Linked DNA regions of Macaca fascicularis. The protein of the gene in region 2 interacts with the protein of the main gene of each other region in a pairwise test. Links are inferred from orthologs where the notes say so. Each region holds a gene or a part of one and is shown on either strand. Other genes may lie near its edges.

Evidence for each region. The genes of interacting proteins can lie anywhere in the genome.
Region 1: the proteins of CERT1 (region 2) and ACTL8 interact in binary tests that used the Homo sapiens proteins (3 or more experiments, as listed by UniProt). The two-hybrid records come from large-scale screens. The link is inferred for Macaca fascicularis from reciprocal best matches to the Homo sapiens genes CERT1 and ACTL8.

What each region holds. Positions count from the first base shown.
Region 1 is NC_088375.1:217,346,063-217,351,821, reverse strand, and holds the start of ACTL8 (actin-like protein 8), read left to right. Parts: upstream 1-2,528; 5' UTR 2,529-2,572; intron 2,573-5,759.
Region 2 is NC_088380.1:79,525,459-79,531,208, reverse strand, and holds the start of CERT1 (ceramide transfer protein), read left to right. Parts: upstream 1-2,464; 5' UTR 2,465-2,466; coding exon 2,467-2,552; intron 2,553-2,693; exon of another isoform or gene 2,694-2,805; coding exon 2,806-3,199; intron 3,200-5,750. UniProt on the Homo sapiens protein: Shelters ceramides and diacylglycerol lipids inside its START domain and mediates the intracellular trafficking of ceramides and diacylglycerol lipids in a non-vesicular manner.

The sequences.
Region 1 (5,759 bases), on a different chromosome or scaffold from region 2:
TTACCTATTCAAATGACTGCCCAGCTTCCCCCTCCTGGTAGGATGCAGAGTGATGCCCGTCGTACACACTGGCCACAGTTTGTCCACGGTTTTCCAATTTGGGGCTATTATGAATAATCTACGACGTGTATTCTTGAGTGGACGGGCTTTTTTGTGTGATACGTTTTCGTATCTCTTGGATAAATACCTTGAATGGGGTTCCTTTGGGAAGGCCAGACCACAGGGCTTTCACTTGGTCTAGAGGGTGCCGAGGAGCTGCTGGAAGTTTTGTGGGTCTGTTTTGTTTTAAGTAACACTGATGAATTCGATGTGGATCTTAGAAGGAGTGAATAGGAGGGGAGATGCCAGTCTTCAATTCCCCAGATGAGGGTGGCAGCTCAAACTGGTGACTCGGTGTGGGACTTTGCCCCATCGCCTTTTTCCTAATCTGTGAAATGGATTTTTCACAGGCGTGCATGGGATCGTTGCCAGGACTGAGTGGGATAATGCATGAGGGGTACTTGGCATGGGGCTGGCATGGAGCAGATGCGCAGTGGTGGCAGCCAACAGGACTGCCATTTTTAGGTGTTTCAGGCAGGATGTCCTAGCTTCTCCCTGGTGCTAGCCATTATGTGTTCACAGACCAAGAGCCCAGGGGGGTGGCAAAGGGTCTTGGTGCCCTGCTCAGAGACATTTCTGGACTCAGAAGGTGGGGCACAGCTGCCCACTGCTGTGCAGTGCCAGGCACTTTCTGATGCCTTCTTATGGCATCCCTCAGAGGAGTGGGTGGCCAAGGTGGCCTTGGGTTCTGGGCACTTTGCCCAACCCCCTGACAATCACCCCAACTGGCATCTTGCCTGTCCAAGCCCCGAGCTGCTGGGCCCCAGCAAGTCAAGCGGCCATGATTAGTCAAATAAAATTTCCATCTGTTGAGGAATTTACGAGAGTTATTACTGGCTATAAAACCGATCTGAGGAGAAAGATGGATCCGAGGGGTTAGTGCCTCTAATTATGTGCAGCAGTGACTTTTAAATAAGGTAGAACAAGTCCTTACTGGAGGGAACCAGGCCCCTATCCCTGTCTGGGCCCAGAATGTGCCAGGCTGGTGGCGGTGGGTGCTTCACTGCAGAGGGAGGAAAGAGGAGCTACCGTATGCAAACTCGGGGATGGGGGTCAGTGTGGCTTAAATCTTTTTTTTCTTTTTTGGTAGAGACAAAGTCTTGCTATGTTGCCCAGGCTGGTCTCAAACTCCTGGGCTCAAGCATTCCTCCCGGCCTCCCAAAGTGCTGGGATTACAGGTATGAGCCATTGTGCCTGGCCATTGTGGCATTTAGAAAGATCTTGGATGCAAAAGGGCCTAGCGCAGTGCCTGGCATGCAGCAGGGACTTAATAAATGCATGTTTCTTCTTTACCTGCTTCCCTCTCTTCTACCCCCGGGGACTGAGCTGGGCTGCTTACTGGATGCAGGCAGCGGTCTCCCTGGGCCGGGCTCTTGTTGGCACAGACTCTGTGTGATCCACCCAGGTAACCTTGCTAGGCCTCCATAGCTTCACCTTTAAAGTGGGACAATTAATTACCAAAGGAACACGAGAAGGCAGGTTTTTGGGTATGTGGGCCCAACCTTGTTCTGTTTTCTTTTTGGGACTGAGTCTCGCTGTTTCACCTAGGCTAGAGTGCAGTGGTGCGATCTTAGCTCACTGCAACCGCTGCCTCTTGGGTTCAAGTGATTCTCTGGCCTCAGCCTCCCTAGTAGCTGGGATTACAGGCGCCCACCACCATGCCCAGCTAATTTTTGTATTTTTAGTAGAGACGGGGTTTCGCCATCTTGGCCAGTCTTGTCTCGAACCCCTGACCTGAGGTGGTCCTCCCCCCTCGGCCTCCCAAAGTGCTGGGATTACAGGCGTAAGCCGCCGCACCTGGCCCTATTCTTAACACATGACTCAACTCTAATGCACCCAGCATCTAGGGAAGGAGGCCACATCGTGGGTTTCTCCTCATCTCAGGTGGGAAGGTCTCAGGGGTCCATGTGCTCACCTGAGGTCACCTGGATCCCAGATGCTCCTGCTTTCTTGGAGGAATGTGGCTTTAAAAGGCCAACTCCTAACCTTCACCTTACTCAGGATACTGAGAACAAGACCACTTGGGAGCAAACGTGGCCTCCTGGTGGCTGGGGAGAGCCGTGAGATGGTAGGTGCTGGAAATTCTGCCTGGAGTCCAGCATAACTAAGTCCCCAGGACCCAGGGTGGAGATGAATGACCCCATCCCAGAGAGTCCGAGCCTTCAAATATAGGGCTCTGGGGCCTGAGACTCTGAGGTCCTGCAGCAAATTCGTGGCGGGTCCACTGACTGCTAGGCCAGGGGTCTTGTCGCTGGTCCACGCGGAAAGGAAGGATGGCTACTTTCTGTTCCTCCCCTGACCACTGCTCCATCAAGCACAGACCAGGCCCCATCCCCTGGGCCATTTAAAACCAGAGGCCCAGGTGCCACGGCCACGCTTTCAAGACCGTAGAGTCAGCTGTTAAAAGGCTCACACCTGGGCCAGGTGCCATCAGAATTCAGTCTTCCAGAGGCTCTGGCTCGCCTCCTAGCAGGTAGGTCTCACCATGGGTCCCTTTCTCTTGGCCAGGCGCTTGGGTGTGACTGCTTGGCAGCGGTTGTGCACTGTGGAGCCCCTGGTCCCTGATTCCCGACCTGAGGGGCCTGGGCTGCAGGCGGGAGCCCAGGGGCCGGCGTTTGTGGTGGGGTTGCAGGAAAAACCGAGCTTCTCTGGTCAGGTTGTGGCCTGTGTGGGTGGCCTCCTTGGTGCCCCCACAAGCCTTGTTCCCCGGTGACTCCTGAGCTGTGGGCCCCAGGTGGCAGTGGAGAGGCTCCCAGCTCTGGCGCTTTCTGCGTGGCCTCCTGGGGACTCAGTTTTCCTCTGCGTCCGTGGGGATGGTAGGGCTGCGTGGTGGGGCCCAGGCAATGATGAAAGGAGTGTGTGTGTGTGAGAGAGAGGAGCAGGCCTCTGATTCCTTGTTCGCCTTTGGTGGCCAGGCTAGGAAAAGCAGCGGGGAAGCGCTTGCCTCGCTGTGGCAAGTTGATGTCTCTTGGACTGAGACCTTTGGGCTAGAGTGGCCTAGTTGTCTGGAGTTCTCCCCTCCTCTCACACCTCATTGCAGGATGAGAAAGCCTGGCCTGTGGGTCCCCAGACACTGCGGGCTCTGCGACAGCTATGGAATTTCTGTCTTTGGAAGGCTTCCATCGTGCTGAGGGCTTCATTCTGTCTGGGTTTCATGTTGTCTAAAACCAGGTAGGCTGGGGAGTGGGAGTGTGTGTGGGCTGTGTTGATGTACCCCTGTGATGGCCCCGAGCTGGCCCATGGCCCCTGTGACCTCGCTTTCAGACCGTAGAGTCAAGTGACCAGGTAGCATGGGGGTGCCTTGTGGTGTGGTCTTTAGAAAGGGTCCCCGGAGGTGTGGCATCCCTGGTTCCCTCCTAGTCATGTCTGTGTGACCTCACTGGCTTTCCCATCTCAAACTTGGGGGTGGAGTGGGTCCCTCAACCGCCTTCCCCACTTCTGTGGGACCCCTGGTCCCCCCTGTGTCCCCTGCCTCCAGCCTGGAAGGAGGTTCTGAGGAATTGGAGGGCTGCAGATGCCCCTGCTGGCTTGAGTGCCTTTGTAAGCAGCTCATTAACGTTTTACCCCTCCTATTCCTCATTAGCCTCAGGCCCTCTCCATGAGAGGGTTCCCAGGATTTCTGAGTTTTTGCTGGCACTTGGGGCAGGGGAAGGCTTATGGCAAAATGTTCCTTAGTCTTTTCTCCCCCGTTCTCTCCCTCTGCAAAAAAGGATGAGCGGTTGGGGAGCCTTGGGGCCGACAGGTTTTGTGAGTGTGCAGTGGGGGCTTCCGCCCTCGGGAAACAGGGGTTGTAATGGAGTTCCATGCTTTACCAGCTGATGACTCAGCAGGTCTGAGCCTCAGCTTCCCATTTACTGAATGGGCTAACTGGGACAATGATTGATCTAGTGCCTTCTATCATGATAATCATTATTTTTGATAACATGTCCCAGACAAGAGTAGCAAAGGTTGGAAAGCAGCTCTGTGTCGAGCTGAGCGGGGCTCGGGAAGCCCTGGTGGGTGCAGGGAAGGGGGCTGTGGGGGTGCTGGTGATTTCGTGGAGGCGGAAGCCTCTGGCTGGTCCCTCCCCTTGGTGGGCAACTACGGTCCAGTTCCCGGCCGATGATGGGGTTGGCATTAGGTGTGACCCAAGGGGTGGGTAGAGGCCAGGGAAGCTGCTCTGTATCCTACAGTGCACAGGCCGGCCCCTGCTGCAGACCGTCATCCTGCCTCAATTGTCAACAGCGCCCAGGTTGAGAGACCCTCTAGCTCCATGCCCGGCACATAGTTGGCCCTCCCTAAAGCTTGGACAAATACCAGTGGGCAAGCCAGGGGGGACTGGTCATAAAGTCAGCCTGAAAACGGGGGGTTCGCTTCCTTCCAGCCCAATATTTCTTCCTATTGCTCTGTTAGGCATGGTCAGGAATGCTATGAGGTTCTGACAGGCAGTTTCCAGCCCTGGGTACCCTTGGAGGTGGGGTTGGTGATGCTGTGACTTCAGCAGCCTGAGCTCCTGGGGGCCCCTCCACAGCACCTCTCATCCTGGTGCTTATTGGGTTCAGCCTCGTCCTCCTTGTCTCGCCACCATGACACACAAGTCCCAGCTGCCGATGATCTGCCAGGCCCACGTGGCATGCCCGATGTGGCCTGAGAGCCTGGGTTTTAATAGCTGAAGATTTCTTTTAAAAAAATTCCACTTGTCTCGAGGCCCTCATTCCTCCAGCTCTGCCCGCCTGGCTCCCCAGGGGAGTTCATGCAGAAATTGATGTGTTAACAGGCTGCAGCGTCTCCCTCTCCATCTCTCCACTTAGCCTCCCTTGGAGATGGCCTAGTTGCTGGTTGTCTGTGCCCCTGCCCAGTGGCCCAAGATGGCACTTGGCTTGGGGCCCCCGGATCTGGGTAGGGGGGCTGTATAGACACGAGATGTTGGAATCCACCCAGGTAAAGATACCATGACACACAAGTCCCGGGTGCCAACTGTGCAGCGCTGGGGGCTCCAGCCAGAGCGGAGTTGGGAGGGATGCTGCGGGAATCCAGCTTGTCGGGAGATGGCACCAACTGCAAGTGCTGGACGCTTCCTTCCCTGAGATGAGCAGGCAAGGATCACCGGGTCTGGGGTTGTGCGGAGCAGGTTGGGGCTGGCCTTCCTCCTTTGGGTCCCTGAGTGTGGTGGGCCTGGAGGAAGAGAAACATGTCAACTTGGCTGTCCAGGCCGTGTGTACTGAAGAGTAACCTCCACGCAGGCAGGGATTTTTATCTGCCTTAGCTCACTGTGGTGTCCTGGTGCCTAGGAGAGCGCCTGGCACGGAGGCCTCACGGTCCCCCACTCTTTGCCTCCAAACCACCTCAGCTTGAGCTCTACCTACAGACAGGACCCTCTGCTTTTTACACATTAACTCATCAGACACTCACAATAACCGTATGGAGTTGGTGTGATAACTTACCCATTTGACAGGTGAGAAAACTGAGGCCCAGGGAAGTGAGGTAACATGCCCAAGCCCCTCTCCATGGCAGGCTCTGTAGCATCTCTTAGGTCTCAGCTCAGTGATCCCCTCTTAAGAGGTCTGACCAGAGCCCTGGCTCCGTTCCACACACACTATCATTGTTGCTCCCTCGTGGCACATGTCACCCGACTCTCTATAAATGCCTGATTCACTGACTTATTCACGATCTGTCTCCAC
Region 2 (5,750 bases):
CCCTTCAATTATCAACCAGGCTAAACTTATTTCATTCATCGGTTATTATTTACTGAAAACCTCCTACGTCACAGGCAATTTAAAATCTTTATTCACTTTCTACACATAATTATTGTCAGAATACCTAGACAGTAAAATGCTAGAAAACAATGACTCTACAGAAATGGTTTATATTTTACTTTTATAGTATCTCAGATGATCATATAGCAAGATCTTAATAAAGATCTTAAACAGGGATAAACTATATTTTCATAAGCTATCACCATAGCAACATGTATGCTCTATAGAAATATTTTTTCAACTTATTTGACTAAGAAGAAAAGGATTTGAAATTATAGAAGTGAAACAATAAAAGGGTTAGAAAAAAACAGGAAGCAAAACACGTTTACAAAATAACTATCATGATTCTACTGATACATAAGATACCACCACACTGCTTTATATAGTATGCCTTTAAAATATTAATAAAATAATTTCTCAATCTAACAGGAAAAGCAATTCAAAAGCTAAGCAAAATAAAAACGAAAGAAAGAACATGTGTACATGCCAAGAGTGGGCACTAATACTGTTCATCAGTGTACTGTACTGTGTGATTTTTAGACTAAAAGGTTTTTCAATGTTATAGTGAAGCCTATGAAATACCAACTACCCTAACAAGTTTTTATCCCATAAACCAAACAGATATGAGTAAAAGATAAGGGAATATATTTTTCAATTTCATTGAATAGTAAGAATATTTCTCCTTGAAACATTCCTAGCCTGGCTCTCATTTGTACAACAGGAAACAGAATAAAAAGGGTGGCCTACACACCCTTTGAAATTCCATTTCTGAAATCACTGTCTTATTCTCGAATGTTAGAACTTTTTGTGGGATCTGACATATTCTCAAGTAGCTGTGAAGTGCATTAAGGTATCAATGAGTACCCCCCATCTACCTCTTCCCTCCCACTTTTCCAAAAATACAGCTGCCTTTGGAACCTTAAATGGTAAAAATCAACAGATAAAGGAGTCTTAGACAGATATGCTAAGTCACCTTAAGGATCAAAGCTGCAGAATAAGACATGGCAGTATGAGCATAATACAGTAATAATTGACATTAGTAAAAGAATTCATCAATATAAATGGAGTGTGGATGGTCAGAAAAGGAAGTAAAAGAAAGCAAGATACATATTGGCAATGCCTACTTAAATATCCACTGCCACGATAGAGATAACCTAGCTTCATGCTACCAAACATTTAGAATCGTAATTAATCCCCCATTGAGGAAGTAAAAAATAGGAGACTGGGATATGGGAAAAGGTCATCAAGCCTAGATTTGAAACCAGGATATAAAGAGCTGGAATTACAGGCACCCGCCACCCTGCTCGGCTAATCTTTGTATTTTTAGTAGAGACGGGGTGGTCTCAAACTCCCGGCCTCAGGTGATCCACCCAACTCGGCCTCCCAAAGTGCTGGGATTACAGGCGTGAGCCACGGCACTCGGCTAGCGTTTTCCCTTAGACTCGAAATTTCGCTCCTATTGTCCCATCCTTGTAGTAAAAAAGGTATTCTTTCTAAGGCTTAATAACAAATTTTACTCTTGGCAATTATCAGGAACTCGACTATATTAAAATAGCTAACGAGAGGAAATTACTGAAGCTACAAAGTCAAAGGTCTCACCATCAAAGTTATCCTTGACAACTGACAAGAGCTGTTAGATCTTCTTTTGGTCTTTCTGCTAATTCAACCCTAGTCTTAAAAATAGCCACCTATTGCCTAATCCCCTAATCTCGTATTTCTAATACGAGAAAGTTTCTATATATCCAAACTTTCCTATCTTTGAGGGGCAGGCATGGTTAACGTGGTTCTCAGTAAGATATTCATTTACAACTAAGAGAAAATCCCAGGCTATCATCTGACATTCTTGTTTTACTTTAAAAACCTTTCTAACGTTATTTATTCTCTGACAACCTCAAAATTACTTTCCACAAAGAAAATTCTAGAAATCTAAAAATGCGAAGTGCGTGCTTGTCAGAAGGTACTAAGGAAATTCTTCCTTTAAACGTCAAATGTGAATTCTAACTTCTAATGGGTAAGACCCTCGAGATTTACAGCGGTGGTCTGGTGGAAAGAAAACCCCCTTGGCACTAGGAGCTCACAAAACCCCATCCCGTGGTTGAGGCGGAAGCGGCTACGCGCTCCCGGGCTTTCGACAAGCAGCCCTGCAACGCAGGCCCGTCATCTTCAGCAGAAAGCTCTCTCACGTCCTGGCCCGCAAGCCCGGAGGGTTCGTCATAAACACACAAGGCAAGGATAGAAGCGAGGCCAAGAGGCAGGTCACGCAACTGTCAAACGAAGCCCACCCACCGACTGACAAGTCCCCAAGGCGACAAGCGATCCCCGCGCGGGATACTCACCCGTTACCTCAGGATCGCGACTACAACTCCCAGGAGGCTGGGCGAGCGACGAACCAACGCCCTTCCCAGAATGCAGCACAGCGGCATCCCTATCCCGCCCTCTCCTTACTGCGCTCCTCCTACTTTTCTACCCCTCGTCATCCGGGAGAGCCGGAGGTAGGGTGCGGGAGGAGGATCCCGCACGCTTGGCGTGTCGCGTCAGACGCCGGGAGGGGGACGGGGCGGGGAGGAGGAGGGGAGAATGGGAGGACGAAGGGGAGGGGAAAGGACAGGGGAGGGGAGGGTAAATAGTGGGCCAGGCAGCAAGATGGCGGCGGTAGCGGAGGTGTGAGTGTACTCGGGTCTCAGCGGCCGGATTTTCTCTTCCCTTCTTCTCCCTTTTCCTTCGCTATTTGAAATTGGCATCGAGGGGTCTAAGTTCGGGTGGCAGCACCGGGCGCAACGCAGGGGTCCCGGCGACGGCGGCGGCGGCTGACGGCTGGAAGGGTAGGCTTCCTTCACCGCTCGTCCTCCTTCCCCGCTCCGCTCGGTGTCAGGCGCGGCGGCGGCGCGGCGAGCGGACTTCGTCCCTCCTCCTGCTCCCCCCCACAGCGGAGCTGGCACTCTTCGCTTCGCCATCCCCCGACCCTTCACCCCGAGGACTGGGCGCCTCCTCCGGCGCAGTTGAGGGAGCGGGGGCCGGTCTCCTGCTCGGCTGTCGCGCCTCCATGTCGGATAATCAGAGCTGGAACTCGTCGGGCTCGGAGGAGGATCCAGAGACGGAATCTGGGCCGCCTGTGGAGCGCTGCGGGGTCCTCAGTAAGGTGAGCAACCGGTGGTGCCAGGGGACCCCTGGCCAGACTCACCTGCCGCGAGGCAATCCGCTGAGGCGGTGGGGTGGGGCTGGCGGGAGGCGCGGAACGTGCCGGGGTGCGAGGCTGAGTACTGCTGCGGCGACTAGGGATGAGGCGGGGATATAGGGGGCCTGTCCTTGCTGCCCGAGGGCTCGTCGGGGGCAGCCGAGGACCAGGGAAAGGGTGTATCAACCGGGGATCCAGTTTGGGAGACCAGATGCGTGCCGTGCCTTGGGACCTAGGGCGGCAGCTGTCCCGGGTGTAAGGAATCCGGGTTGGGCTTCAGCGGTGTCCGAACGACTGGGCACGGGAGCGGTTCAAGTCGGACCTCTTAAAAGAGGTTGGTCTGTCTGAGGATGCCAAGCCGAGTAGGTTGGGGGGCACTGCGGACGCAGCTGTTTCGACAGAAGCCGGAGCGACTCAGCTTGGTGTTGAAATTTGAGGTGTTGAACTCGCCAGGTTAGATGTAGTGAGACAGATTAATGTGGAGGACTTTCTCCCTCACCCTGTACCTTAGTTCAGAATAGAGATATTGAATCGGCACGTGATGGGTACAGGAAATATTCATAGTAACTTGAAACATGTGAGAAAGGAGACTGATCTTTAGTCCAGGAAGAAGAGCATTATTTAATAATAAACTCTTTTTGCGGTAAGGGGTCCAGGGTAGGGAAAAGATGTTTTACCTTTTATGTATTTTTTAAAATCCGTGTATCAAAATTTTAGGAAAGCAGCCATTATAGAACTGCGGATGGGTGATCTCTTGATATTACATGGTTGGGATTTTTTTTTTTTTTAAGTTTTTGCTATAAGAAGATTCACATAGCCTTTTGGACTTCTCTCCCCCTTCCTGTTAAACTTTTTTAGAAATGGCTGGAGCTAGCAGTTAACTTGGAGAGGGGGAGCTGGGCCAGTCCCTCAACAAGCTGGTCATAAGATACTATGTCATGTGCAGCTACTGGCTATTAAGAAATCACCCTGTTTCCAGTATTCATACTTTGGCACATCACTTGGACATTATTTGTGGAATTGTTTAATATAATGCTTTTATAATGTCTGTAGAAAGCTAATGAGAAGGGAACTAGAAAAGGCATGAGTAGTCAGAACTAAGGATTGCAAGTGTTGACTTTTATTTGTATAGCCGAAAAATTAGTTGTATATTGATGCTGTGATCATTCTTGAAATTTCAATGCAAGGTTTTCAGTAACGAGAAGCTCCTCAGGATTTCTTTACATTAAATGTATCCTGTAATTTAGGAATCTCTATTGAACACATTGTGTAGTAGGTACACATTTTCAGTTGATAATAGGAAGTGGGTTACTTGCTTCTCAGTGATTTTGATAGTTTCATCACTGCTCATAAGATGGGAAGCTGACTGCCATATTAGTATTGTGATGTGTTGAGTATTTTACAAAACAAATTGTAATTTTGACCTACTGATAATTACTTTTTTGGGGGTTGGGGGAATGGAGTGACTGGGGGAAAAAGTCACCAGTGCTCTGAGTTTTACTTTATGTGGAGTAGGTATACTATAGATCAAAAAATGGAAGACCAATCTCGATATTTAAATGCATACAAATGCATTTGATCACCTCTGTGGAAGGTGAATAACTTAAATTTTGACTGTTGCTTCTTATGTAGAATGAATAGGAATACAGCTTTTGGTATTCTTGCTAATAGCTATGAAGGAAATTTTCCTGAGATTTACCAATTTATGGTTATATACAGTGTTTTCTGGAAACTTTTTAATCAAGGGTATTCTAAATTGAATATATATACTCATACTGAGTATGGTGCATGTTTTTAAATGTAAATTATATATTTTGAATTCTTCATATTCACCTGGTAATTTAAACAAGGATCAGAACTCGGCTTTTGTTCTTTTCCTTCCATTGAGTAATGTAAATAAGTCCCGGTACAATTTGTTTCGTTTGTCACCCAAAATGGGGTGGATTTGGAATGGGCTTGGGTAAATTTATATTAGAAATATACCAGTTCAAAGGGTATTTTCCATATGGTAATCTGAAATATATGGAAATACCTATGAAGCATATTTCTTATAAATCACTTAAGTGTATAGATTCCAAAAATACTTGATAGACAATAATTCTGTCTGGTTATAACAAGTATCGTGATGGATCATGGTGGGGAAAAGATGCATGCCTTAGTAGGACTTGAGAGCAACTAAGGCTGGATAAAATAATCTCATTCAATTTCTGAATTTCCTCCATCCTTCATGGTTTACCTTCTGTTTTTGCACACACCAAACTGTTTGAAATTCTGTCCATCCTTAAGAGTCCAAGTCAAATACTGTCCTTTCCGTAAAGCCTTTTTGTATTTTGCCATCATTCAAGACCTCCTTCACTTGAATTCCCATAGCATTTTGTTTTATTCTAAATATATATTTTTTTCTCTTGTGTTTGTGTTTGCTGGCCTGTTTGCCACAGTAACATTCAGTTCTCCTGCAATGTCTAGCATATTGCCTTGTCTGTATTTGTTAAATGGGGAAGAGTGAGGGAACATT